Linked DNA regions of Lepisosteus oculatus. Each later gene encodes a partner of the first gene's protein in a complex. Links are inferred from orthologs where the notes say so. Each region holds a gene or a part of one and is shown in the gene's direction. Other genes may lie near its edges. The genes, in order: coa1, surf1, cmc1 and tmem186.

Region 1 (7,569 bases):
CTTTAAAAATATCAGCCAGGATGCAATACCTCTGAAAGGATAAAAGGAATTCTCAAAATGTTTGTTAAAAGAATCTTTTTCTATGTCTTCCATAATGTTATAATATAGATCCACACAGCCTGAGCTAGAAAGGGAAACTGCCACCACTATGAGACTGGGAGTCAGGTTGTAGGACTGTATCCAGGGTCCCCCTTTCCTCTTGTGTGAATCACAACCCACAATGGCCCTGTCCATTCCCTTGAAAAACATTACTTCAGTTCTGCAGATAAGCTTTTCACGTTGTGTACGTCTATGTGAACAGAAAACATGCCTCAGACAATGACAGAAATTTCTATTTTAATAAATATTAGCACAGGAAATTATTACAGACACTAGAAGCAGATAAGATAAATATCTAGAGTATTCTACCAATTATTCTCAAAGAAACAAATGTTAGTCATAGACCATAATGAAAACTCTTCCTGAAGTCTGTTGAAACAGAGGTAATATCCGCTCACTGGAAAATATCTACCATAGCACTGATACATAATAATAGTGACCGCTCCATTTTATTGTAAAGCAATACAATATAGATTTTGTGCAAAATGTGCATAGGTATATACAGATTGAAAGTACCACAGTATAAACAGTATATTACTGCAGTGTCCAAAAATTACATTAGTGCAACATGCTGTCCATAGACAGCCTAGCCTAGGGCAGTGTTATACACCCTGACAGCCGCCGGGAGGAAGGACCTGTGGAAACGTTCCCTTGAACACCGTAGCTGGAGCAGTCTGTTACTAAAAGTGCTCCGCTGTCTAATAACAGTCCCATGTAGCGGATGAGATGCATTGTTAATGATGGCTGTGAGCTTGGTCAGCAATCTTCTCTCTGTCACCACCTCCAGGGGGGTCACGGCTCAGCCCCAAAACAGAGCCAGCCTTCTTGATGAGTTTATTGAGTCTACTTACATCTCTTGCCATGATGCTGCACCCCCAGCACACAACAGCGTAGAAGTTTACTCCTTAACAAACTTACTCCTGTTGGCAAACTTACTGAGCACATTACACTGAGAAGCAGAACCTTACTGGGAAGACTGCAGTAAAAATCTGAAATCGATATTTAAAAGGATTCACATGGAAAGACAAAACAAAAATCTTCTTAAGGTAGATGTCCTAAGGTAGATGGGCACTGAGAAACAGATACAAATTCTTGTAACAGTTCTGTAATGGTGAATTGGTAAACCCCAATTAACTTAAGTCATCTCTATGAAGACCAAAGACCAAATTGTCAGAAATGTTTTTTTTTTCTGTTAAAAACAAAACTTCACCAACTTCCACCCGTCACTCAAATATACAGTTAACATATCTTCCACTACTCTTCCGTTTCTAGACATCAACTTCTCCATTAACTATCCCTGACTCTCTACTTCAGTCTATTACAAACCCACTGATTCACACAACTATCTCCTGTATAGCTTATTTCACCCCAAACACACTAAAAACTCTCTCCCCTTTTCACAGTTCCCTCGGCTACGACGACTCTGCAGCGACATCGATTTCCAGAACCAACCCCTCAAAATGTACTCTTTTAGCATCAACAGAGGATACCCTAGCAGTGTTATTGACAGAGCCCTTGCCTGAGCCCAAAACATCCCTTGGACCATCAACTCAATCAAGAATTTCCGCCTTAACAACCGCATTCCTTTGGTGCTTCCCCACCACCCTCACTTCCTATCCCCAGGGCTATTAACGACAATTTTTCCATCCTACAGGATGATCCCTGCATTGGGGCTCTCTTTTCTGACCGAAACATCATCTCATATCGTCAACCACCTAATCTGCGTAACCTTCTTGTTCACAGCTCCCTTGACCGCCCTCAGCAACCATCCACACCAGGCACTTTCCCTTGCAACAGAGCTCGTTGTATCAGCTGCAAGAATGTATCTAACACCACACTCATTCAAGGCCTCTCAGAACAATTCCAGATCACTCGGATGACATCTTGTACCTCCAGCAACCTTATTTACTGTATTTCTTGCAGTAAACAGGAAGGAGACTCGGAGACTGCTTCAGAGAACGTGCCAGGGCTGTAAAGATTAAAGATTTCTCCAAGCCCATTGTTTCTCATTTCACCTCTGACGGCCATGATCACACTAATCTCTCCATTTGTGTTCTCAAAGCTGGTTTTCCTAATTCAAACATCAGAAAGACTACAGAAACTAAACGTATCCTGCAGTTAGGATCACACCTTTTTCCTCTCAATGACAGACTGATTTTCTTCTAAATTCTCTCTTTTCATTGTAGGTTTCATTTCACACCTCTCTTCACCTATCGTGACATCATACTACCTGATTGGCCACTTTGTCTGTCCCACGCTCCCACCTCTCGCCCCTCCTCTCTCCCAGCTTTTGTTCTCCTATGCTATATTACCTTTGCTTACTGCCCTGTCCTTCTTACACCTGAAGAAGGCTCCACTGCCAAAAAACAAAAAACATAGATGTACATACAAAAAACATGAATTTAGAAGTTTTAATTGCCACAGGATGTAGAACCAAGTCAAAACAATCTTCCTCCTCTGTTCTTCAGCTGAAGAAGGCTCCACAGCGAAACGTTGTTTTCTTTCTTCTCTTTTCAGCATGGAATAAACCTATTACTTGTTCCTTTGCAGCCTACGCATGCTGACGCAGCTACCCACCTGAACTTCCTCTTCTGTCATTTGTTTTTGTAAATAGTATGATGTATTTCGACAGTGCCTTTACTACAGGGAGCTAAATAAAAAGACTATTCCAGATTCTTAGCCAATTCCACATATTCAGGAAATCTTGGACATCTTATAATAATAATAATAATAATAATAATAATAATAATAATAATAATAATAATAATTGCTTACACTTATATAGCGCTTTTATGGACACTCCACTCAAAGCGCTTTACAGGTAGTGGGGACTCCCCTCCACCACCACCAATGTGCAGCATCCACCTGGATGATGCGACGGCAGCCATAGTGGGCCAGAACGCTCACCGCACATCAGCTATCACTGATAGTATCAGTGGGGAGGAGAGCAGAGTAATGAAGCCAATTCATAGATGGAAAGTCGTGGTGTTCGGTTTTAGACCTTTTTTCGACTTAATGAAACTTGGGATTTTATACAGACCCGAAAAATACTAAAGTAAAATATGTATTAATTCAGGTAAAGGGCTCGCTACAGTGCTGTACATTTCCATCAAACACTGCCGAAAAACCTGAAAGTACACCCAGGTCAAATGGTGAAGCCATCAAAAAAGTCGAAACACACAAAACCTAAAGCGTACTGTAGACCGCTAAAATAAATCCAAAACAAAGCCAAGACGAATAGCGACAAATCATTATCTTGAATATTCGGATTATCTTGTGAAGCCCTGTAAATTAATTGATCCATCACTGTTAGAACGCCTCTTATAACCTAAAAGGTCATTTCAAATATTTTTTGGACAACACTCGGATTATCTGACATCCACTGTCTCAAATGTTTCCATAAAGCAGATGACTCGTGCAAAGGAAAAGAGGTGCATACATCCACGACCTCAAGTGTGTCATATCCAACAACTGTCAAGCGAAACCTTTTAATTAAAAAAAATCTGCAAGCTAAGGGTTTCTGTCTGACCAAAGAAATTGACCAACATTGTATTAATAACTACTAAAACGCATAATACAGCAGTTTCACATCTCTTTCTGTCATAACTCAATAAACACCCGGGAGTCTCTTACAATATGATGTTTTTAAAATATATTACATTTCTACATCGGCCAAGGATACATCAATCATCACGAAAATTCATATAAAAACTGTTCATAACCCAATACTAATAATACCAGACAGATCTTACTTAGGGAACTCTTGGTAAAAGTGAGGCATGAAAAGCTAAACAAAACTTTTTACATACTTTTAACATGAGGACGCAGGCAGACAGTATTTAATAAAATACACTTTGGGTTATGTAACAATTTTACAGCTCACATTGATGCAGTGGCAAGCCTAAAACAAACTCTATAAAGAAACATTGCTTAACCGTTACCAAATATTAAATGTGTGAGTGTTTTTCAACAATACTAGATTAAAATAGACGAAATCAAACAAGATATAGACAATAAACTTAAAGACTGCATAAACCAATTTGCAGAGGTTACACAACACTAAAACTGAAAGCAGTGATGATGCATTCTTTATTTTTTCCATCTTTGCCATGTGGCGTTCATTAAAGCTATTCACCTACTGTAGCTTACCCGTCTTTTATCGTCCTTCTCTTCGCTGTCGCTCCTGTCAACTGCTGTAACTGATCGCTAAATGATGTAACTAATTTAGATACAACTTTCATAACTCGCACATGTCAAACAGGAGAGGTTTTCAGTGACGTAACCACACCCGGGCGTTTCTGCATAGTATCTCCTATCACGATATAACAAAAGGACTTAGGTCGGGGTGCATGGAGTAGATACGCAAGCCTTTTGATTACATAATGCCCCCTAGAACATTAATGATGTTTGGGATGTGAAAATATTTTAGTGTTAAGAAAACTGACCCCAATGTTGTGCTCATGTTAACCACTTAGCTTGTCTTCTTGTTAATAAAGATATGACATTCAAGACTAAAATGGCTGCCCCCTTGGAGGATGTGTAAAAAAATTGTGTAAGTCACTGTGCGATTTAAATGTCACTTATTCATTGACAAGTTTTGGTTTTTGATACAGGCACAATTCATGTTACCCAACGTGAATTCTGTTTATTTCGTTTTAAAACTAATTTAAATTAATTACGATGCAGACAACTCATATCTAGTCCAGCTTCTGTACTGGATTGATTTGATCATTTTCATAGAACCGTCTATTGCACCGTGTCACATTAATATTGATCTTTGATAAGATGATACTACATTTAACATGAGGTATACTAAAATGTTTATCGTAGCTCTAACGTCGGAATTACAGTATACATTTACTACAGTATAAATCCATGTTCAGCGCTAAAAATGTTAGAAATACAATACTTCACCTACCCCACAGTAGGTGATATTGGTATAGTGGTGAAACAAGTTTGGTGTCGACCAGGAGTGGGGAAAAATAGACTGGAGGATGTTAATTGTCCTTTTTACATGCTAGTCACTGGGGAAGGGAGTTAAGTCCTGAGAGAAAGAGAAAAAGGGACATCTTCTTGGATGGACACAAAGCAAAGATACAGAAAGGGGGATCTACCGTATCTATCTATTGTTATAAAGAAAAAAGGCAGGAGGAGGTAACTGTATCTGTCCACTCTGGAAGGTGTGGAGTGCTAGAGTATATTAAAGATGAAAGATTTGTCCATCTTAAATGACTACTTTTAGTGATCAAATATGCCTGTATATTTAAAATGATCTTCTGCTTGAAGACAACAAAGTCTTCAGATAAGAGGTGGTAATTGTGTAATTCCTTTAATTTTGACATGTTGTCATTACTTATTAGTGAATAAGAACATAAGAAAGTTTATAAATCAGAGGAAGCTAGTTGTGCACAGTTTTCTGACCTAACTCTTACAAGTGAATGGTAAGGTTTTAAATCAAATCAAATCAAAGTTTATTTATCCAATGCACAACAATACAGCGTGCAGCAGTAGTTGCTGGCAATGAAATGTCTTTTCTGCAAGCTCACGAAAATCACAAGAATCACAAAAATCACAAAAACACAAAAATCACAAAATTGAGGTTATGAAAATAAGGTTACATAATTATAGATGTAATAGAAATTGAATAAAACTCAATATGAGCAGAGCTGCTATGTGTCCATGGTGTATGCAGTATATGCAAGTAGTGCAGTTATGCTTAATACAGTGAAAACTTTGTGTCCATGTAGCCATTACAGGTGATTTGCTAAAGGAGCTGCAGGCAGTAACTTAACAGCCGTTGATTCAATTGTATGATATTATTTCTGTACTACTCTGTTTTCTGTTAATTTTCCATGTTGACTCTAAGCTTATTGCCATAGAGATAATCTTCCAGTTTAGTTCTTACAAACCGTTGCAGTCATCCCAATTTAAGTTCTTGCATCTAAAAAAAAACCCTTTACACCAGGAACCTTCTACTCCATCTCCCTTGTTTTATGAGGATAACAAGTCTCAGATTATCATAGTCTGATTAGATAGCTTCAGTACATGTGCTCTGGCCACTTTCCACTGGGTAGTAGCTAAATTTCATGTTCATGTAACCATGATTATTATTAGCCAATATTATCTGTCTTTCTATCTGTTCTTGATGCCAACACTGCCAACCCAACATGTTCTGCGGCAGCAATAGTATTTTTGTCCACTAGATGGCAGTACATCATAACAGTATAATAAAGGTTGACACTATTAGTTTCTTCCGTAACATAACGCCTTTTTTTGTCTGAACTTATCTTCCTGCTTTTTTTCTACAGAGGCTTGTCATTTTAAATGATGGTTGCATAAATTTAATATACTTAATATCATGCAAAGGTTTTCAGAACAACTTAAGCATTTGTTTGTAAACATTGTTTTCTGTATGTTGGTCCAAGCAATTTGAAAGCTGCACTTTCAGTGTGTAGTTTTTAATTATTCTAGGGAAAGAGATATAACCTTTCAGTTTAACACTACAGTAATTAATCTGGCAGTATCTTTTTCATTCATGCATTTTTCTCTTTGCAGGGTCAGGCGAAAACGTTATCTGGGTTTTTTTTTTAATCTGTGACTTGTAGAGCTACCAGACAAGGTAACCATAACTAGCTGGCATTCGGAAATCTCTTTATCATCCTCTTCTGAACTGAATTCCTCTTTCCTCCTTGAGAATATATTTTTTTCATTTCTAAAGAGCAGTCCGGTGTTTCATCAAACAAAGCTTTCAGGCAGTCTTTGGTGCAGGATAATTTCGTCTTCTGAGCTAATATGGAAAGCAATTTAATTGAGTAATGAAGAAGCCATTTTAGTAGTTCTGTATTTGTAGTAGAAACACAGATGTCACAAGAACATTCAACTGTAAAGTGTGTTTGTATTTCTGTGGATGTTCATTTTATCATTATCATTTGTTCCTGCTCGATAACGTAGAAAAACCTGTTTAGTGGAGCTTATATGATGGACAGTGGTCCAAAACAGGATCTGGCCCACACTATGACTTTCAAGTTAATAAGGTTAATACCTGTAAAGTTAAATGTCAAATACGGTTTTATTTCTTACACTAACAGCAGTACCAAATTGCAAATCGTAGTTGTGACCATCAGGAATTCTTAAATATCTTTAATGACTGTATATTTCACAATATCATTAGTACATGTAATATATAAACAATTTTAGGGTTTACACATGGTTAAAAAAGTTCCTCTACAATAAAGAGTTCCTAACATGTGGTATGTGCATATCATGCAATATATATGTCCATCTTATGAAAAAAGAAGCGTGGTATGTAGACACAGACTGATTAGAAAGCAAGATTCAAAATGCAAAAAGTTGCTTTAACCTGTATAGTTAATGATAACTCATTAGGGTGATCAGTACTAGACATATTTTCCAATATTTCTCCCTTAATACCTTAATGTTATAATGAAGTCTGACATTATGACATAATAA
Region 2 (7,593 bases), on another chromosome or scaffold:
CTTTTATTTCAAACTTGTCTTCCACTTTTAAAACAGCAATTAAGCTTTATTTACTGTATTCCTAAAGTGCAACTTACTGTGAAATAATCGACGGCAACTGGCTGACATTTTTCCAATGCTGGCACTACCTACCTCCTATCTACTGGTATTAACACCTCAGTCTCATAAGACAACTACAGATGACAAAAACAATCTTCTCGCAACATGAAGGAAATAAAATTTCCCAAAGTGTTGTTATCATTTTTTTATTAGCCTATTCACATTTTTTTTTTTAAAAAACGAGTCTTCTCACTCCTGTACTGTACATGTTGAAACAGTAGATGTACACAACTCTGGTATGGGGGTTTGCTATGAATCAGTGGGAGTGAGCTGCCACCTTCAGAGGAGACCACCACACAGCGGCAGTGAATGACATTTCCCACAGGACGTGGAAACAAATTAAAACCATATTTGATTAAGTGGGGGGGGAAATGAGCTGGCCCAGAACGATAATACTGTGCTTCGTTCACATTCCCGTTGGGCCTACTTCAGGTCCTCTGGTAGGATCCGGCCCTTTTTGCGGGCTCGGTCCTTGCGTTTCTCCGCTTTGCTTTGCTTCTTCTTCTGGATGTTCTTGCGCCGCTTGTCCTGGCGGTTCTGCATCTTCTCCAGCACGTTCTCGCTGCGCTGCTCCCACCGCCTCTTCTTCTGGGCACGCATTTTCTCCTTCCGCTTGAGGGAGCGGCGCAGGAGCTCCTCGTTGTCCTTGATCTTCAGGCCCTCGGCCTTGTACAGCACGTTGGTCCACTTGATCTTCTCCTCCAGCTCCTTGGCCTTCTCCTCGTCTTTGCTCCGCAGCTCCTCCACTTTTGCCTTCCGGGCCTCCACGCGGTCCAGGAGCTGCTTGTAGTTCTTCCCCGTCAGCGGCGTCACGTTGCCCTTGATCTTCTTCCTCTTCTCCTTCTTCTGCTGGGCTTTGCTCACGTACTCCCCGCTCAGGTCCACCTTGTTGAAGACTATTGAGGTCTCCGCTCCTCCTCTTCCTCCGGTGCCACCTGGATTCTCGACTTTCGCCCCATCGCCCTTGGACTCCTCAGCTGTCTCACCTTCTCCGGTTTTCTCTGCGAGCTTCTTCATCCTTATCTCTTTCCTCTTCCTCTTCTTGCGCTCCCTCTCCTGCTTTCTTCGTGCACGTTTCTTTGCCAAGTCTTCAGCTGACAGCCCCTTGGAACTTCCCTGAAAGACATAAGGCAGCGATTACCCCTCCTTACTGCCGCCTGCACCCCTTTGATTCTCAAATGCTTTTCTCACACCCCTTAGCAAAAATCACTGAAGTAATTCAGTTCTTTAAACCTCAGATATCTCTTAACTCTACAGTTGAATCCCTCTCATTGTACATTTATTTTCGTTTTGCAGTAAAATTGAAAAGACATGAAAAAAGACACACTTCTTTTAAACTTAAATGCCTGGGTTTGATGAAAGAATGTAGCTTACGTGCTTGTGCTCAATTTGTTTAAATTTTGTTTTAGCCTTCTGCACAATCTGGCATGTCTCACACCCCCAGAAAGGGTGATGTGTAGAACAAGTGTCTCCATTCCTGATCCTGAACCCCAATCTACCCTACTCCAAGCTCCAATCCTGTTGGTCTCATTTCTAACCCCGACTCATGATTTTCTATAAAAGATTAAAACCACTTAAACATTACTGATCAATTAAACAAGTAATCTGGTCCATTAATGAAACTCTAGAAGATTGAAAAGTCCTCAGTATCCTTTTTCCAAATGATCTCTATATCACTTTACAAAAATTGCTTGTTTCATTCAGTTTAGTTGTTCCAGATCTTTAGGGTCTAGGGATAAGCAAAATCCTAAAACAATCAGATTCCAAGCTGTCTGGGTGTGTTTATTATCATGGTTCAGGATTTATAAAGAAAGTAAAATCTAAGAGTACTACAGAGTAATGAAAAATTAAGAGATAAGAGAGATGCCCGGGAAGTGAGATAATCATATCATTTTCTTGTTTTTGTATGTTTTTGCAAACTATGCAGTCTAGTGGCTTGACGTAGGCTTTGTGCTCAAATGTATATTAAGATGCTGCCTGTCCTTGGTCAGTAAGATAAGGGCATGTATTTGGTAAGCTGGCTGTATGCCCAGAATATGAAAATAACTAACTGTTGTCTAGTCTGCAACTTAGATATAATTAATTGGCAGGTGTTGCTGTCTTATCATTTATTTGGAATATGTCATTGTAACTCTTTGTGTTTTAAGGTATAAAGGACCATCTTCAGCTACTTATTTTTTAAGTCTGGTGGTTGCAAGCCGGACTTCCATATGCATATGAATAAAGGACTTCTGCTTCACAGACACCTAAACTTTGTCATTTGTTTGACACTACAGTAACTACAGATAACAGAACAGTGAAATCTTAGGCATCTAAAACTGCTGCATTCAACATTTTCAATTAAACAATTAAATTATTCTCTTTAAATATGGGAACATCCCTAGCTGAAATATACATACATTGCCACGGGACTCTTCAATCTTTTCATGCAGTCTCTGACGCAAAATATCCACAGCAAAAAAGGAGTCAGTGGCAGTCTTTGCATCTGTAAAGGAAACGCAACACCTTCAAGACTAGTACCACCTGCCTAAACAATTTTAGGATTGTTTTCACTTGAATTACATAAAATACAAAACAACAATGGATAAAATATGAATCACAAAAGCTGTGTAAACAACAGCACACTGTCAAACTGATGGTCTGAAAAAAACATGTTCATACTTTTACATAAGATTTATAAAAATACAATAACTAAAAGCAAGTTGGACCAGAGACAAAATTAAGTGAGTGGACACTAAACAATATTTTCCAACTTTTGAGAGGTTTGAGGTTCCCGACCAAAATAACAAAAAATAAACCTAACAAAGCTATAACATAGCATCAACATCCAAAACTGTCAATCATGTCTTTGGTGCTACTAAATTACACTGTTGTTATTTGAAAGCTGTCAAAGCAAGAGCTTTCAAATGACTTCATACAATATTTTAATTCTCACCTTTGGGTGCCTGTGCTGTCTTGACAGCTGTCCCATTCAGAACTGTCCCACTGGTGCCATCAAGCACAGTGGTCTGAGCTTTGCTGGATGCTGGCTGAGAAGATCCTTTCTTTGTGGTGTTCACTACAGGCTTCCTTTGCTTGGCTTCTGAAGTCTTTTTTCCATTTGGTTTCTCCTTTTTTTTCTTCTTTGGCTGATCTGCCTCCCGGCTCCTGTATGGAACTAGGGCGTTTTAATAATAATGTTGGTTACATTTGGTAATGTTTCTTACTGAAGTGTGTATCAAAATTAGAACGTAGGATATATACTCCATGTAACAGTGCAATAACCTAAAAAAAACAATCTAATTTATATACTGCGGAGAATGGAACAATCTCCTTGTGACCTGTATAATCTCCTGATATCTGTTGTGTTTTCAAATTGCTTTAGTTATGACAAAATACCACACTGAGATGAGACTCGTGTTCATGTACTGACAAATACACTATAATATATAATAGACTGCCATGAAACCTGACAAGTAGTCAATCATAAAAAAAAAATGTTATAATGAGGCCGTCCAGTCTATCTAGCTTGGCTGCTAGTAGCTAATTGGTCGGAGAATTTCATCCAGATGATCCTTGACGTACCAAGGATTTACAACAATGTAGCTGGGCAGCCTGTCTCATAAACACACAACCGTTAACCTCTGCCCTTATAATGAAAACACGAATAATGTCTATAATTATAATGGTCTCCTAATGTGTAAAAGAAAAGAAAAACTGAAATATTACCAAAGGGTCGTTTTCGCGGTTCTTGATTCTGCGTTGCACACACTTTACTTGCTAGTTTTTGAAGGTATGCGTCCTTTGAAACAAGACTCGCCATTTCTTTAAAAAGCCAGAAAGACAAGCAAGATTTAGAACTCATTTTACACATGAAAGGCGTTGACAGGCTCAACATTTCGTATAATAAGATAATAATGTGTTAATTAACCGCATTATGTTAAAGTTCTTTGTTTTACTGAAGTACTCTTGTATTTCTAGCAACTATGTTTAAAAGTGTTTCAGAAAACCTGAGAACGATTACCACTCAATACACGTGTATCATAAAGTGAAGCTCAACTGAAATGCTAGACTTGTGTAACTGGGGCTACCAGCTCGATCTCCAAAACATATATTCGATCGGAAAAATTCGTTAACAATAAATATCAGTCGAGCATGTTACCTTCTTGTAATAATAACAGTTATCAAGCAGTTTACACAGTTCCCAATACCTGCGTGTAGTACAAGCGATCTTCTGTTAAAGGACCCACATGGCAAGACGTAAGCAATCGAAGCACGCCATCATCGAGCAAACACAAGGCTGGAGAAACAGAAAACGTTTTTTTCCTCTGTTCCCCTTCGGCTTGTTTTTTTTTTTAAACTAATGATAACGTACAACAGATTAGCTAAACATAAGTCTGCCACTTTTACAGCCGTGATTAACCATGCTGGACTTGATTGATACAGATCGAATTCCGCTTCGAGCTAGAGACGGATGAGGAGGAGCTATGCTTTGCTGTCGGAAGTAGTTACTGTATCACCAGTCCCCGGAAAACAACCTTGTGGCCGTACAAATGTGTCTTCAGATATAGTTTGTACTGTAGTTTGCTTTTTCGCCAAAATGAGTAGGATCAAATTAGTCTTAATGTCTTCTACCAGAGCTCTGATGATTTTAAGAAACAATGTAAGTAGTTACGCTAGTTTTGCATAAAATTAAATGATATAAATTTGAGCGACATTGTAATGTGGTCTCTGTTTACATGTAGGTTATGCAATTTTTTTTTACAAAGTATTACTGTTTTTCACGACTAGAGTAAGCAAAGGCGAGCCTGTCCTCTTATTCTATAAGAGATGTAGGGTGATGTCGTGCGTTTTTGAATGTTGTTTCAGACCCATCACTTATGCGCCAAAGGGACGGTTTGTGGACGACGCTTCGGTTTTTCCACGCTTCTTAATTTAAGGAATTGTGAGGGTAAGGTTTCTTTCTTGTTCCTATCAGGAAGGGGAAAGTTCCTGAAAAGCCGTGTCTGTTTGAGCATTTACATGCTGTACAATTTGAAATGGTAAAGAAGAGGCGAATTTGATATTTCTCCAAGGGGTGTCAGGGCTTACTTAGGTAATCAGCACAAGATTCTGCTGTTGGGTTTGAGGTGGCCTTAAGTACACTACCCAAAGTATAGTACTGGGTTCAGTTCTGACCTTGAGAGACTGTCTGTGTGGAATTTTGCACGTTGTGCTCCTATTTGCAAGTTCCCTTCCACCTTCCACAGATATGCTGGGTGGATTTGTTTAACGACTCCAAATTGTAGAAACTGCGGAGGAGCCTCCCGGATAAGCCCCACCTAGCTGTGACCCTCAGGAGCACGAACTTACTGAAAATGAATAGGTGATGGTTTCCAAACAAGTACTTTTAACTAAACAACAGGAAGTAACCCAGGTTTGCAGGTGGTGTTATAACCTGATTTCCATACTCAACATTGATTTTTTTCAGACTTACATTTTGTACATTTGGTGAATGTTCTTGTATGCCTGTGTTTTGGGATTAAAAGTCTTTGTTTGAACTGATGTTTATGACAAGAGTTTAGTTGCATGGTCAGGCTCTATCCAGGCTCAGTGTCTGTTTTAGAAGTACCCGCTGCTCTTGTTTCTGTCATTAGGGAGGAATGTCCGACCGTACTCACAGTCCAGCCCCACAGCGGCTGAGACAGAGAAGGGAAACGACACCTTACTCAAATGGTTCCTTCTGCTGATTCCAGCCACCACCTTTGGCCTGGGAACATGGCAGGTATACCGACATTTTCAGAAAGCTATACGCCACACACATACCTATCATTAGATTTTGAATTGTAGTTTTGCACCTACAGTACATAATCCTAAATCATAGCAATGACACACTGCCAAAAGCTAGTTGACCATTTCAACTGTAGTACAGTTCACCTTTGCATATCTCTACCAGTTTCCTGATTTGCGGATCTGAGAATGGTGCACCGCGTGTCATTAATGAAGGAGAACATGGGAAGAGATCTTTTTTTTATTTTTCCTTCAGGTTCAGCGGAGGAAATGGAAACTAAAACTGATCGAGGACCTGCAGAGCCGGACTGCTGCAGAGCCGATTGACCTCCCTCTGGAGTAAGTGGTGGAGAATGCTGCTACGAGCACTAACAACACTAGGCCTGGAGAGTCGGTGTGTCTGCGGGTGTTCATTCCCCCCCCCAGCTCTTAACAGATCAGTGGGACCAGTTAACAGCTTTTCTGACCTCTTTAGGTGCTGCTGCTTTGGACAGACTCAACTGCCCTCTAGGGCCAGGACTGCCACCCCGCTGTTACTTAGCTAGGATATTACGAACATTGGTTCGTAAGATCAAATTTCATCACTTCGTACATACTTGTGAGCTCTGTAGGTCCAACATTAAAGCAGTTATACAAGCTGCAGTCCACATATCAAACGCTTTATAGCCAGCAGCCATATCACCCTGCAAATCACAGTTGGCAGCCCACTGAAGCTCAGCAGGTGTGAGCCTGGACAGTACCTGGATGGGAGACCTCCTGGGAAAGCAAAGGCTGCTGCTGGAAGAGGTGTTAGTGGGGCCAGCAGGGGGCGTTCACCCTGCGGTCTATGTAGGTCCTAATGCCCCAGTATAGTGACGGGGACACTATACTGTCAAAAGGCACCATCCTTTGGATGAGACATAAAGTTGAGGTCCTGACTCTCTGTGGTCATTAAAAATCCCAGGGTGTTTCTGGAAAAGAGTAGGGGTGTAACCCCGGCATCCTGACCAAATTTCCCATTGGCCTTTACCAATCATGGCCTCCTAATAATCCCCATCTATGGACTGGCTTCATTACTCTGCTCTCCTCCCCACTTAGAGACGATGTGTGGTGAGCGTACTGGTGCACTATGGCTGCTGTCACATCATCCGGGGGGGGCTACACATTGGTGGTGGTGGAGGGGAGTCCCCATTACCTGTAAGGCTCTATATAAGTGTTAGGAATTATTATTCTTGCACGCTTGACACCTTGATGAATTAATGAAGGCATGCATCTCTGGCCTCTGATCTAATAATTTTTAGCTTCTTCTGCCATTATCCTTGTTTCTTTCAAGTATCTATAAGGCGTGAGGTGAGCACGGCTGTCACTCGGAGCCGGTGTTCGACACTGGGGTTGCGTATTCACCGATCGCCTCTGCGCGTGCCTGTCTCCCCAGCCTCCTGGAGCTGAAGGCCCTGGAGTACCAGCGGGTGAAGGCGCGCGGCCGCTTCGACCACTCGCGGGAGCTGTACGTGCTGCCGCGCTCCCCCGTGGACCCCGAGCGCGAGGCCCAGGAGGCCGGCAGGATCATGTCGAGTGGAGGGAGCGGAGCCAACGTCATCACACCCTTCCACTGCTCCGACCTGGGGTATATAGCGCCGATTCGCCTGCTGAAAACATCCTTCTAATGAATGAGCATGGAGAAGATACAATATGGATACAATATGCTTGAAGGAGGGCATTTCTGAAGCTTAATGGAGTAGTTTTCCTCTCAACGACTGTTCGTAT
Region 3 (7,531 bases), on another chromosome or scaffold:
GTGCTAGAATTTTTTTTTTCTCAAGGAAAGTTGTAGTGATGTAAAAAAAGATAGAAACCCACTTCCCATGTTGAATTCATGTATTTACTTTAAAGTATTTGCTGTGTTTGCAACCGAGCTTTTGTTAACACTGTAACATTGAGCAGTTACAGTTACTAGTGTTACTAGTAATATTATCAGCACCCACAGAAAACGTGCGATCGCTCTTCTGGACCAAGACTGAATTATCTCCTGTCATGGTCCAACACCTGCTATTTTGTAGAAAATATTTTTCCGTCTCAGAGCAGTGACATCTGCATTGTTATGATGGTTGTCTTTTATTTATTTAGCGTCTGTAGGTGGATAAGCTTGTGCTCTGCTTACGATGTTCTAAATTTGAGCTAAAAAATCCAATTTTATGTACTTTTTCTATTTCATAACGGCAGAGAACCCTTACGAGTTCTTTACATTACTGAAAAGCAAGGTCACTCAAACAACTGATAAAAAGCTACAATATGAGCCTAGAAACGTGAGGTGTGATGTTCCAGCACACCAGTTCTTGCTGAGAAGCTGCTCACCTGGACTGAAGCAAAAGAATTCAATGACTACAACATCCTACAGGGGAGTGGTATCGACTTCAGGCACACGGCGAGAGCTCAGATCTTTCATTTCAGATTGTTTGTGCCTTCGCGATGTAGAATTTACACCTGTGCTCTACGGTTCACTCCTCGTTTCATGAGTTGAAAATGTGGGCAGAAGCAAGGCTACAGATTCGTGGTAAAACCGAGACCGTGAGATAGGACACGGGCCTGCTCGGCCTCCAGTCACCCACTCTGTGGTGTACCTTTCATCTGAAGCCAGGCAGAGTCAAGAACAATAACGTTTTTCATCTTCTGGAACCTACCTCTACATCCTCTTTTGATAAACAAATTACACGGCCTGAATACCAGTAAACCCAGGCAGTTGAGGGCCTGAGAACAGAGTTTCCTATCCTGTCACATTGGTACAGTATATTGTGGGTCAGTCTACCAATCTGGACTTAAACATTCCTCGCGTACAACAACATTTTTTTAATACAGTTTCACCAGTTATTGTCCTCCTTGTAAGTGACAATTGATATTCGACCCAGCTTGGCTGTAACACTGCCAGAAAATGAAGGCATACAGTACCTGTAAGTGTAGTATGAAGAATCAAAGACGTGTAGTTTGTTTGCTAGATCGATTAATAATAATAATTAATAATTGCTTACACTTATATAGCGCTTTTCTGGACACTCCACTCAAAGCAAAGCATGGGTGTTACTCTGTGAACACGGGGCCACACTGTGGGCACTCTGGAATCAGTGTTATCCATCTAACCAGGTGTGACGTAGTTGGCATCAAGGTTTGTAGGGACAGCCCTACAATAAATTGGATTTAGGACCTCTGAATAAAAAACTGCCCCCTCAGTATTGCCCCTCACTATACAATTGGGTACAACAGGGCAATTTATCTGGTATTCATGTGGTTTAGGTTCCAACAGCAAGTGACAAGCTAGAGAGGAAGTCTCATTGTGATCAGGAGTACAGTGAGTTAGGTAATTTAGAAATGAATCTGAACTGTTCCATATCAGCCCATACTGAGCTGTATCTAACGAGACTGGGAAAGATGCCTGGCCTCGGTTTTGATCGGTTTGGCTAAACAGATCATCACGCAGAGAAATGCAAATCTTAGGTAGGTATTAATGCTGTCGAGCAATGACACTTGTGGTATCGAGCCTGTTTCCTGAAAGTCTGGGCTGTACTGGGTCTGGGTATGTTCTGTCCGAACAGTGAACAGATCATTCTAAATATGGGAGAACAAAAAGTGTAATTGTGAAGTAACGTTTAAAAACCAAAGAAAATGGGTGCAGAGTGGCTTCTTATTAGAGAGCAAGAGTATTCTTCTTTTTAGAGATTACAGCATGCAGCAGAAATACATTCCTCAATACAAGTTAGAAATGACCATAAGTACCTTATTTTAGGCACAACCTTAGACAACACCTTAGGAACAAGAAAGCTCTTGGCACCCCTCTACCATTATTTTAATCTGAAGACAGGACGACATCGCGAACGTGCTGGAAATGGAAGATGGAAAGTCTCCAAGCTGTATTGCATTCATGGGCTGGTGATGCCAGGCTGTTAGCGACCCAGATGGAGGACATAACCCTCACTGAAAGTTCAAAGCCCCCTATGTCGCTCCCTGAAGAGCTGATTCTAACTGCTGCCAGCAGAAAACCATTATAACATGCTATTGGCAGCACGGACCGCACAGAAAAAAAAGACTCATTCCAGTTTACAGAATCCGATCGTGTCCGTTCGTTCTATCACAAAGACAAGCACTAGTATTAAATGGTAATGCTAATTCTATACTAATACTAATTCTAAGCAATAGTAATAAATGTGCATAGCCACAACTCCTTATCTGAAAAGGCTAGTTATTTCCATTTACCAATACATATTAAACTTTGATCTGTGTGATTGTACAGCAAGCTATGAAAAAACAATAAGAAAGAACAAAAAGTTCTTGCAAATATTAGCACACTTATTGCTTCTGAAAACACTTGTTACCTTAAAAGAATTAGATCCCTGAAAATTTAAAGTATCTTGTGAATGGTTAGATTTTATTTCTATTTTACAGATTCGTTTATTAGATCACTTTATTGGCCATATACAATTTCTTGTATAAGGAATTTGTCTTTTTGCAGACCCCAGCTTGCTCTCCATGAGACACACAGACAGGGAGAGAAGTTTGGGGTCAGATCGCAGGGTCTGCCATTTATACGGCGCCCCTGGAGCAGATGGGGTTAAGGGCCTTGCTCAGGGGCCCAACAGAGTAGGATTCCTCTGCCGGCAGCAGGATACGAACCAGCAACCTACCAACCACAGGCACAGAGCCACTTATTGAGGTTTGTGGTATAGTATTACCTTACATTACTTGATTATACCTTCAACATATAGTTGTCCCTCTGGTACTTTTAGTATGCCTCCCATCAGCATGTCTTTGACGTTTGTAAATGTTCTGAAATGGATACAATGAATAAAGATTGCCTTTCTGCTGAGAACTGAATGGCCGAACAAGCAGTTTTACACTGCCATTCAATTTGCCATGTTTTAGCGACAAATTGTGTTGCGGATTAGTATGGATGGTCACAGAGATGACTTTGAATTGAAGATTTTATTCCACTTAAAACTCCACATGAGGACACTTTAAGCCCTGTTGCATATAAAAATAAATTAAAATCACACTACATTTTTAGATCAATTTAATCTGTCCTTTACTGATTTTATAATCCAAAAATCTATTTTCTCAAAATATAATTAAAGCATGTGACTGAAGCCGATAGTTTGTCTTTTTTCCCAAACACTGGCTAGATGAGATCGTTGGATCAATAAACTACACATTTCTAATAATCCCCATCTCTGAACTGGCTTCGTCACTCTGCTCTCCTCCCCACTGAGAGCTGGTGTGTGGGGAGAGTACTGGTGCATCATCCAGGTGGGGCTGCACACTGCTGGGGGTGGAGGGGATCCCCATTACCTGTAAAGCACTTTGAGTGGAGTGTCCAGAAAAGCACTATATAAGTGTAAGCAATTATTATTATTATTATTATTATTATGCAAAGGAACAATAGGTTTATTCCATGCTGAAAAAAAGAAGAAAGAGAACACAACGTTTTGGCCGTGGAGCCTTCTTCAGGTGTCAATAATAATAATAATAATAATAATAATAATAATAATAATAATAATAATAATAATTATTATTATTATTATTATTATTATTATGATCAAACTGGCCACATAGACCAAGTGAGTACCAGTCTTAAATTTTTGTAAACCAGAAAGAGAGGCACTGGGCCAATTGCCTCACAGCCCTGACAGATTACGACTACAGGGGAATCAACGTGTTGGGATCCCGGTATTGATTACATGACCGATCTGACGTCCATGCACAAATGAAACGGGGTAAATATTATTAATCAAAACACCCTCTAATAATAATAAGTTTCATTCTGGTCTTGTTAATTGCAACGATGCACTGCATTTAACGTCGGCGTCTTTCTAAAGGGCAGAAACGTTCTGAATGAAGCCAACATCAGCCTGCGTTACGCAATTACTCATCGACTTTTTTTTTTAACCGGTGAAAGATCCAGTCGGAGTTTCGTTTTCTGAAATGACCAGGAGGGAAGAAAAGTAACGCACCTAAAAAAGGGGTGCTCCCTGACCGCATTAAACGTCAGCATAGAACTTGATCCGTGTAACATTAATGTAAGGGTATACTGGCGAGGTAAAACGTTTTAAACTCTGGGTCAAGTCTCGGCTCTTAGGCGGCAGAGGCAGCTGTTGTGCACCACTCCGCTTACTTTCTTAAGGCGTTTTTTAAGGATGCTATTAACCTGTATCGGGACACCCGCTCTTGCACAACCCGGAGTACCTGCCAGCAGGGCTTGTGCTGCGCATCCCCACCGGCGCAGCTCCCGTCGGCACCGGAGCCCCGGATTGGCCGAGCGGCGCCCGGGGAAGGCGGGACTTCTGGTGCGGATGTGAAAGGTCACTTTGAAACCAGCATGGTCGGTGCGGACGGGGGACTGGCTTCTCGTTAGCAACCCGAGATTCAAATTCCTTTACCCATGGAGTCAGCCAAAACAGGTACCGTAAACATTGCGCGACGTCTCATAAAGGGCTGGAGAAAAAATGCTGGAGTTATCGCCGGAGTCCCCTCCCCCCCTCACCCCCCGTGCTGTTTGAAACATTTCATATAGCAAACATTTGTAACAGCATCAGGGTGTTCAAGACAGTTCATAGAGCCCGTTCAAATGAATATTACTGGCATGTCATTCGGCCCTTATGATCAGTTCTTGGTGATGGTAACGCAAAGCCTTATTCGTCTTTTAGGATTGCGAAAAAGGCACAGTGGAGTAGACCCTCCGGTGTCAGATGGTATGGCGCTTATCGTGTTTCTAAACTGCGGTTGTTTACTATGTGAACTTCTTTACTGCGTCCTTATGACGTGTTTTGGATACTTTAAAAAAACAACGAGCAGTTTGCGCGACACACGATCTTTTTGTGCGGGTGGTTTTACAATTGGGGTGTCTTACCTGCAGATATCAGTTTTGCTGTTCAGATGGAAACATTGGGGTTTTTAAAAAAATGTTTCGGGGTTTCATGAAGTTAACACAGAACAGGGCAGACACCCTTTTGCTGTTTAAAGTCACCTATACAAACACTGTAATAAAAGGAATAGACAAAGTTCATAGAAACATTGTCCCCAGCGCTTTTGAAAGGCCCGATTACATTATCAGGTGATTAAACGTGTTGTAATCATTAATAAATTATCTTGGGAATATGCATTGCTTGCTTCAGTACCAACAATAAAGTAAGAAATGTGATTCTCCAGGCCTGATTCTGATATTTGACCTAAAACCCTTCAAGGAAGAATATCTGAATGTGTGTGTCTTATTACCTCATATAGTATGTGCACAGCTTCTGCAAGTAAAAACAAAAACTCCCCAGAGCTTTTTCTGATGGTCTCGCTAAATAATATAGTTTCCTGTGACATCAAGAAGCATAAACACAGAAGCACTGCAGCCACTAAGAACTGTAGGTCAACCTCAAGGAGCTGCTTGACCTACTAGCCTGACCAGAGCTCTTTCCATCGACCAGAAAGATATGTGCAAAAGCAAGAATGAAACGTAATTTCAGAATGGTTTCTGTGTTGTCTAATCTGTCTGTGTTGTTTGTACTTCCATGTCACCTGAGCGTTGGTGTGTGCTGTCATTCATTCCAGTTAAGGGCATCTGTTAAGCACATGCTAGTAATAATTGCAAGGGGCTGATGGTATAGCATTTTAACCCGGCTGCACTCGGGCTCATTCAGTTCAATCCAGTACTCGTCTATAAGGCAGTTGTCAACACTTGAGTTGTTCCCAGCAAGGTATTGCAGATTTCTAAACCTGAGCCAGAATAACACTCTCCATAGGCTAGAAATGGGAACCTTTTTTAAGCTGGGGAGCCTATAGCAGGACTTGATCTAATTACAGGGTCAATCAGGGATATCGATGACTGGATGGGGGCAAACTGTTAACTTTTTTTAAACCATATTTCCTGCAGTCTGCAATGAAAGTCATGAAGAATGCTGCATGAACAAGGGAGATCAGTCAATATTAATTAGCAGCATACAACGTCAAAAGCATTACATTATGTAGTAAATAAGCATTTCGCGACATAGTCAAGACTGTCCCAGACAATGCAGATATTTTCTGAATATCGTATTGCAAAAGTAATAGAAGTTATGTTAAAATGCGTAAATGCGTGGTGTGTGAGTTGTCATGCAAAACTGCTCTAAAATGAGCAATCACAAGGCACAATACAATAAATCTGAAAACAAATGTGCTTATCTGGCATTGCGCATCACTGATCTTGGCCGCAAGTGCCTTATCTTTTGTGTTTGTAGTTGCACACAATGGTTCACGGTACTTGTGTGCAGTCACTATTAGCCATCCCTCAGATCAGGTGTTAAACTGAGATCATAACTGCTGGGTCTGGAGCAGAGGTTCCCAGTGCTGGTTTCTGCTCCAGCCATGACACAATCCGGCCCTTCCTTGACTTAAATATTACTGCCTTCATAATGTGATTAATTTGAGCTGTTTGTGCCCAGCTCTTAAACGTGCTGGGAGCTTTAACCATTGTTGTTTTGTAAGTGAAATAAAATCCCTGGTTTGTGACTGGAAACAAAATGCTGTTTTTGAATCAATTGAAGCAACTGCTTAGATCAAGTAAGGCTTCAGTGATCTAATGTAGGCGGGAGGGAATGAAAACTAGCCACGAACTAGATCTTAATGACGCTGTTCCTAAGAGCAGAGGCGTTAACCCTGGTGTCCTGACTCAATTCCCCAGTTTGGCCTACTGACACTTACCTGTTCATGTCAACGGGGCAGGAAGTCATCTCTCAGCGCCTCACCTGACCTGCTGTGCAGAGGAGCTGCTGGCTCAACACGAGCGCCCCATGTCTCCCACAGGGGTCCTGTGCTTCAGGGAAGGATGAGGGTTGTACCCTCCTATACGTAAAGCATTCCAAGCCCCTTCAGGAAGAACGTTCTGGAATTACTGTTTTCCAGTGCTGTCTTAACTGTATTGTCTTCAGTCTCTAGTGGCTAGTGAAAAAATACACATAATATAAATATGAAATATAGCGGTTCGGTGACATGCTATATAGCATGCGTGGTCATATAAAGTTGTAAACTACTGGTAAGACAACCCTTAATCATTAAATCTTACTCTGTTTTGTAGTTTTGTGTGGTAGAGGATGGCTGAGTTTGTAGTCTTAAGATCAAACATGCTGTTATGGCTTGTCCCTTCTGGGCAAGGTCAGAAAACAGTATATTAAAGGTTCCAGATGACAGGAGGCCGTTAAACGAATCTAGCCTCTTTGGTAGTTGGTAGCTAATTGGTCTGATTATCTCTTCCAGACCTTTCTTCAAAGAAGCCAGGGTTCTGTCTCCAATAAAATAGCTGATTAGCTTGTTTCAAGCTCCCT
Region 4 (6,123 bases), on another chromosome or scaffold:
CCCCTGCAGGGAGGAAACGGAAGTCATCAGCACGAATTACGAGCTGACCTGCTGAGAGTCAATCAGCCCTGTACGACTGCCGAGTTAATTAAAGCAAAGCTCCAAACGTGAAGAGACAGAGTACCAAATTTCAAACAGCCTGGCTATATCAATTTGCCTGTTAAAACTATGCTGTTCACAAATGGTATTCATGTGTGGAACTTGAAACCGGAACACCGGCACTGATAAGGCTGAAACAAACTGAACTCTGCATAATAATCTTAGCTTTAGGCATAGAAAAGTGATTTAAAAGTCATGTGACTAAAACAAGAAGGTTTTACAACGTAAAAACTACATGGAAGTTCATTGAAATATAAGATTAAGAGGCGTCGTGGGAGTCTGGTACAAGCTACCCAGCCATAGTGATGAAACCGACACCCTGACTGCTTTAAAGAAATGGCTGGATGGACTGAACTGCACTCTCTCATTTGTAACCCTTTTTATATTTTTATGCTTTAGCACGAAGAGCTTAAGTAAGACCATGGTTTGCAGTTCGAATGTGGTCAGGAAGATCTGGGGACCATCACACCTTTTCTTGGGCAATTTTATCTTTGCCATGTAATTCAGGCAGTAATTTATAAAGTCTTGGAGCAGTTCCTCGCCAAGATGTGCTTGAATGCTCTGAAAAGAATTAAAAAACAACAACAAATGATCACTTCAGCTGTCCTAAAAATCACAGAAAGAACAGTGTGGAAAAAGTTCATTTTTCCAACATGTTCCATGACAATTCTCTTAATATGATTTAAGTATATTATGGTCATTTCTAATGATGCCGTGCTCTATAGCTGGTATTAGCAGTTCAGCGGTGTCAGTTTGTGTTTTAAGGTTGTCAGGAGATGATCCCTACCTGAACAGACAACAGTTTTCCATCTCTGTAGGCAACTAATCCATTCTCAGCAAACACATAATCCACCTTTTCCACCACTGCCAACAAAAAAAGGTTCAGTGATAAAGAACAGCAATGAACAGCTCTCCTTCTGCACAGCTCTGTGGAAAGTATTGGGTTTTCTAGCCCAACATCTCTGACACAACAGCTTCTCTGGGAGATTTGCACTGGTTGTTGCAGAGACACTGGGCTGTGAAGAAGAGGCAGAGTGGGCTTTCTGTACTCGACTAGACAAGATGAAATATCAAAATAAGCAAACTGAAGGAGAACTCCTTGTACCATTAGGTGCCTGCTCTTCACTTTTGATAAGGCACTGGGCACAGAGATACAGACTCTGTGACAGCCCCCTGCTCATTAAACTGAACAGAGCTGTACAGGCAGAAGGCTTTGCTTTGATGCTGTGGCCTCCAGGGTGCTGTGCACAATTCCCATCTTCTCATCTCGCCCATTAGCACACCCCTGCCGTGTTCACTGAGTCCTTTCTCATAACGATTTCTCAGCTGAATCCAACACAGGGCAGAGTCAGATGAGCAGGAATTAAATATTACAAATTCATTTGTCTGATGCTTTCAGTCAAAGCAACTTTCACTTGTACCCAATTATACAGCTGGGTAGTTTACTAATTTGATTGCAGGCCCACCAAATCTCACTAGCCATTCTGTGGCAAAGGACAATACTTCTTAATTAGCCAAAACAAGTAAATGTTATAAAATGAACAAAGGTGATCTGAATCTTCTTTGGATAGTGAATATTGATGTTTCATGGAAAACGTGGTCTCGATTTATGTGCTTCTGAAGAGCAGACATTGATGAGAGTATTTTATAGTGTCACTTTGTGCTTTCTTTAAACTCCTTCATCTCCTTCACTTTGAACAAACGTTAGTCAACCTGTCAGGGCAATATACGTTTTATAAGGAACACTCAGCTACGATTATTAATAGCGCTGGCATATTTTGCGGGGCTATTCTTGACGTTTTTGATGTTTACCTGCCCATGAACACGCTGTGCAAACCACAATCGTCTCGTATTTTATTGAACAAAAAACTGGGCCCAAAATGAATCCTATTCTCTTAATACGGAAATGCAGATTTTATAATTGAACGCCTATACATGGTGGTAGGAAAACAGGAACAAACAGGTGAACTGTAATGAACCTTTAAAGACGTCAAGGTTCAATCTCCTGCAATCCGGTTTGCGCACAGCGGACACACCCACGTCACGCCCATCACAGGCAGCCCTCTGATTGGCTGAGATACACGGTGAGCCTCTCAAATTAACATTTAATTGTTGTTCTGAACGTTTGAAAATGTCATTACTTTGGTCAAATTATAGTCCACTGGTAATGCCAATAGATCTCTTTAAATGGAAATTTAATAGCTCTGCACGGAAACGCTTACAACCACTCAATCGTTTGGAGTAACAGTGCGTGTAAAAACGTGGTAATGTCTAACTAGATGAATTACACGTAGTTTATTTTCATATTACTCATTAAGAAACGTGATTTAAGCGGTGTTAGTTTAATTCGCCGCTTTTCAATCCCGAAATGTATGACGTTGTCTGGACTGTCAAAAAACCCATCAGCTCATTTTAAATTGCGGTTTATAATTATCTGTGCAAAGTGAACAGACTGGAGATCGTATATAATCATATGCACAGAATTTCTTACATTTACCTTTTTTTCTCCTCCTTGTATACACTACTTTAGTTACTAATACTATACTAATACTTTAGTTATTAATGCTATATCCTACAAATACTGCAGCTACACTGATCATTATCTCAGGCTTTCAGTCTTGACCAGCACCTGAGAGCCTTCCTGCAGAGAGGTAATTGTACTAAAAACCCCTCCACTCAAAAATCTTCAGATCAAATAGGCATAAATTACAATACCTTAGATTTACAAGGCTTTGTTCCCAGTGTAGGTTCAAATGTGAAATACAATATCTTTACAACAAAGGATGCATTTAGCAGCAGGTATGGTTGCTTGTACCTTCCTACAAATATCATGCATTTGTACAGATTCTGGAGCTGCTAAATGTAATACTTTATAATTATTAAAGAAAAAACAGCATTAATAGCCTGGATTGGCTTCAGATAGTTAACCTAGATCACAACAAAGTCATTGTATTGCTTTTGCCTCAGGGTGGGCAAATTACCATCACTCATCTTCCAACTGACTTGCAATATGATTAATCAATCAATATGATTAATGGCTTGTCAATACTCACCATCTGCTCCGAGCTGCTCTTTGATCTTTTCAAAATCAGATCCCCCAACTACTCCAACTCGCACCCTCTTTCTCAGCCTCTGAAGAAACTCATCCATGTCAGGGGTGACTTTCTGTGGAGGGGAAAGTTTCATAAGAATTTAAGAACGAAAAACCCTATTTTTAACTATTGATTACTGTTGATTGTTCAAAGAACTCTAAGTCAGTTTGCTTTTCCCTTTTCTTTCTGTGTTGTCTAAATATGTTCGTAAAAGCTAGCCAGAAACTAAAATCAACGGTGCCACTTCGACATCAGAGTGACTGGCTTGGAAAGATCAGAATGGAAACACGTCTTTATTTTTGCTGATTTAAACGTTCTCGTCATCCTCATTAATCCGCGCCTTCTGAAACTGAATACCCCAGCATCCCGCGACGACCCCTTCACATTTTCAGGATCATCTTTAGCTTCTCCAAAGAAGAACGAGCATTTCAGGAAAACCAGCTCGAAATATTTACAACTCACCTGTCTTGCTGCAGTTAGAGTCCCATCGACATCGAACAAGCAGAGGGTTGTCGTATCCTTCCCAGATGGTGCCATTTTCTTAACTGTCTGACTGCTTGTTTCAAATAATGAAAAGATAGTCTTGATTGTGATTAACGTGAAAATAAAGTCAAATATCACAGTCACACTAGACCTCTTCCACCAGGAAAAGATTACGTGTCACTCTGGGACATGTAGTACAGTTTCGGTTCACCATCGGCGGAAATGAGCTAGCGAGTCCGGATGTGGACTACAAAGACATTATTTTAGAGATGGTTGAAGTAACCGAACTCTAGAAAAACAATGTATGTCCGTTTTGCGGTTAATAGTAAGCAGTATCATATACACGATTTTGTTTGATTCAATAACGTTCTTAAAAAAATAAGGATCAGGGGGAATTCGATGAATTCGGTACTCTGTCGAAGAAGGCTTTGTTTCCCCCCGGAGCGTTTATGATGTCATCCCTCTTGGCTTGCAACTTCGGTCTGCTGTGATGGTAATTGACTTTGCACCATCGTTCCTTTTAATATCTGAAGCAATTACGTTTAGGATGATGCATTGTTTAGCAAATACTTTTATTATGCTCAGGAGGGTTGCTCTGATATGTGTGAAGAGACGTTTGTGATTGTGACACGTTTATTACAGCCCAGTCGAATAGAATACTGTTAGCTAGTTCACCTGTTTTGTGGTATTTGACATGTTAATCTTGGTCTGTGTCTTAACCTTCATGCTTGGGTTTATTCATTATTAACAATAAATTAGTCAAGTACACGAGTCTATAATAAGCAAACTTTTCCCCCGCTTATCTCCTTTAAAGTACAGATCAATACTGTCTCTGCGAACCGTTCGTGCTTCGCCGTGTGTGTGGCCCGGCGCTTCTGCTTCAGCGCATCGTGAGAGATGTCTGGTCGGTGGCCGTTCCTTCACCCCTCACCAGCACGAACGCCGTCCCCTCGCTTCGATGCAGGAACGCACAGTATGGACCACACTTAGGGTGCACAGCCAGCTGCTAACTGGAGCCCACCAAGACCGCTCCAATGAAAACCGCTCCAATGAGAAATTCTCCCTGATCTACAGGCTTCCAGCCATCAGGGTCCTCAGGGCAGTGTCCCGACTCAAGCTGCTCCAGACTGGGATCACCGTGGTTACGCTGCCTCCTGTATACTACCTGTTCTCGCAGGGACTGTGCTCCGGCACCCTCGTCAGCTACGCCACAGGCGTTGCTGTCTTTGCCACCGTGATGCTGTTCTCTTTGAGCCACTACCTCCGGCACATCATCGGGATGATGTACATTAACAACTCTAAAACCGTCCTGAAGGTATCCCACCTGACCTTCTGGGGTCAAAGACGGGATCAGTATGTCCCGGTGGCGGATATCATGACCCTCGGGGATACGGGGGACCCCCACAATGAGATGTTGCTGCGGTTTAAGCGCTACAGCCACCCTGAGGTCCTGTACTTCACCATTCGCCTGGGACAGGTTGTGGACAAACGGGCATTCGTGGAAGTCTTTGGTCCTGTCCCCTGACACTCCAAAGAAAGCATTGTTTTAAAATGGTTTCCCGGTGAAAGGCGAAGGATCGGCAGAATGAAACACTTGACTTAATCTGTCGGAGGAAAACTGCCACTATCCAGTATTGCAGTGACTAGAATCGTGGATGTTTTGGCTGGGAATGCCTGTAGCGGTGCTGCTCTTTGGCATTTCCTTACGGCCCAGCTTTGCAAATCGTTCTCCGGCCGGGAGGCTGATCTGTAGCCGCCGGGTGAAGATGCCGAAAAAGAACAGGACCTATCTGGGTCGGGGGCTGGACCTCTGACACTGTTTGCATATAGTGGTGGTATGTAATATAGTGTTGAAAAAAGGCCTTCTTGTGTGCTTAATTAGATCATGAATTAAAGTATGTGTATGAATTAAAGATTAATTTAACCCAAATTGACTTACCTAGCGCTATAAATGGGTACGAATGTATTTTATGGGAGCAGCACCTTTACCCATGGCTACACCAACAATGTCTGGCTTGGGATTTGAACCCATACCCTTCCGGTTACAAGGCCGGAGCCCTGACCGCCACTCCACACTTGAAATGGGATGTGCACGAGTGCTGCGCGGAAGAGAATCCTTTTTCTTGGGTTTCCTTGGTGCGACCGCGCTGCGGCCTCTACACCTGTGTGCTGGATTCGATTGTCCAGCTTGTCTGGGTCCTCGGCTACCTTGTGGGCGTTTGCCTGGTGCTCCCGTTTACTCCCACACTCCACAGCCGTGCCGTCTGCATGAATGGGCATATCTCAGTTTATAATAATAATAATAAACTTTATTTTATATAGCGCCTTTAAAGGTGGCTTTTCATAGCACTTTACAGAATGACAACAACAATAAATAAAAAGAATACACATGATAAAACACAATTACAATATATAGAGGAGACCGTGGATGGTGGTACTAGGAAAAGCA

What was found.
Region 2: coa1 (region 1) and surf1 share a complex: the UniProt entries of both Homo sapiens proteins name them as parts of the MITRAC (mitochondrial translation regulation assembly intermediate of cytochrome c oxidase complex) complex. The link is inferred for Lepisosteus oculatus from reciprocal best matches to the Homo sapiens genes COA1 and SURF1.
Region 3: coa1 (region 1) and cmc1 share a complex: the UniProt entries of both Homo sapiens proteins name them as parts of the MITRAC (mitochondrial translation regulation assembly intermediate of cytochrome c oxidase complex) complex. The link is inferred for Lepisosteus oculatus from reciprocal best matches to the Homo sapiens genes COA1 and CMC1.
Region 4: coa1 (region 1) and tmem186 share a complex: the UniProt entries of both Homo sapiens proteins name them as parts of the mitochondrial complex. The link is inferred for Lepisosteus oculatus from reciprocal best matches to the Homo sapiens genes COA1 and TMEM186.

What each region holds. Positions count from the first base shown.
Region 1 is NC_090701.1:24,137,054-24,144,622, reverse strand, and holds the start of coa1 (cytochrome c oxidase assembly factor 1 homolog), read left to right. Parts: upstream 1-4,560; 5' UTR 4,561-4,651; intron 4,652-6,654; 5' UTR 6,655-6,718; intron 6,719-7,569. UniProt on the Homo sapiens protein: Component of the MITRAC (mitochondrial translation regulation assembly intermediate of cytochrome c oxidase complex) complex, that regulates cytochrome c oxidase assembly.
Region 2 is NC_090719.1:7,896,122-7,903,714, forward strand, and holds the start of surf1 (surfeit locus protein 1), read left to right. Parts: upstream 1-4,573; 5' UTR 4,574-4,678; coding exon 4,679-4,741; intron 4,742-4,947; coding exon 4,948-5,029; intron 5,030-5,714; coding exon 5,715-5,842; intron 5,843-6,103; coding exon 6,104-6,186; intron 6,187-7,261; coding exon 7,262-7,453; intron 7,454-7,593. Other genes in the region: surf6 (surfeit locus protein 6), read right to left, coding at 523-1,215, 2,499-2,584, 3,035-3,256, 3,808-3,901. UniProt on the Homo sapiens protein: Component of the MITRAC (mitochondrial translation regulation assembly intermediate of cytochrome c oxidase complex) complex, that regulates cytochrome c oxidase assembly.
Region 3 is NC_090705.1:40,611,374-40,618,904, forward strand, and holds the start of cmc1 (COX assembly mitochondrial protein homolog), read left to right. Parts: upstream 1-4,519; 5' UTR 4,520-4,626; coding exon 4,627-4,645; intron 4,646-7,531. UniProt on the Homo sapiens protein: Component of the MITRAC (mitochondrial translation regulation assembly intermediate of cytochrome c oxidase complex) complex, that regulates cytochrome c oxidase assembly.
Region 4 is NC_090714.1:13,662,905-13,669,027, forward strand, and holds tmem186 (transmembrane protein 186), read left to right. Parts: upstream 1-3,967; 5' UTR 3,968-4,164; coding exon 4,165-4,167; intron 4,168-4,488; coding exon 4,489-5,199; 3' UTR 5,200-5,604; downstream 5,605-6,123. Other genes in the region: pmm2 (phosphomannomutase 2), read right to left, coding at 1-3, 569-660, 887-963, 3,153-3,264, 3,654-3,728. UniProt on the Homo sapiens protein: As part of the MCIA complex, required for efficient assembly of the mitochondrial complex I.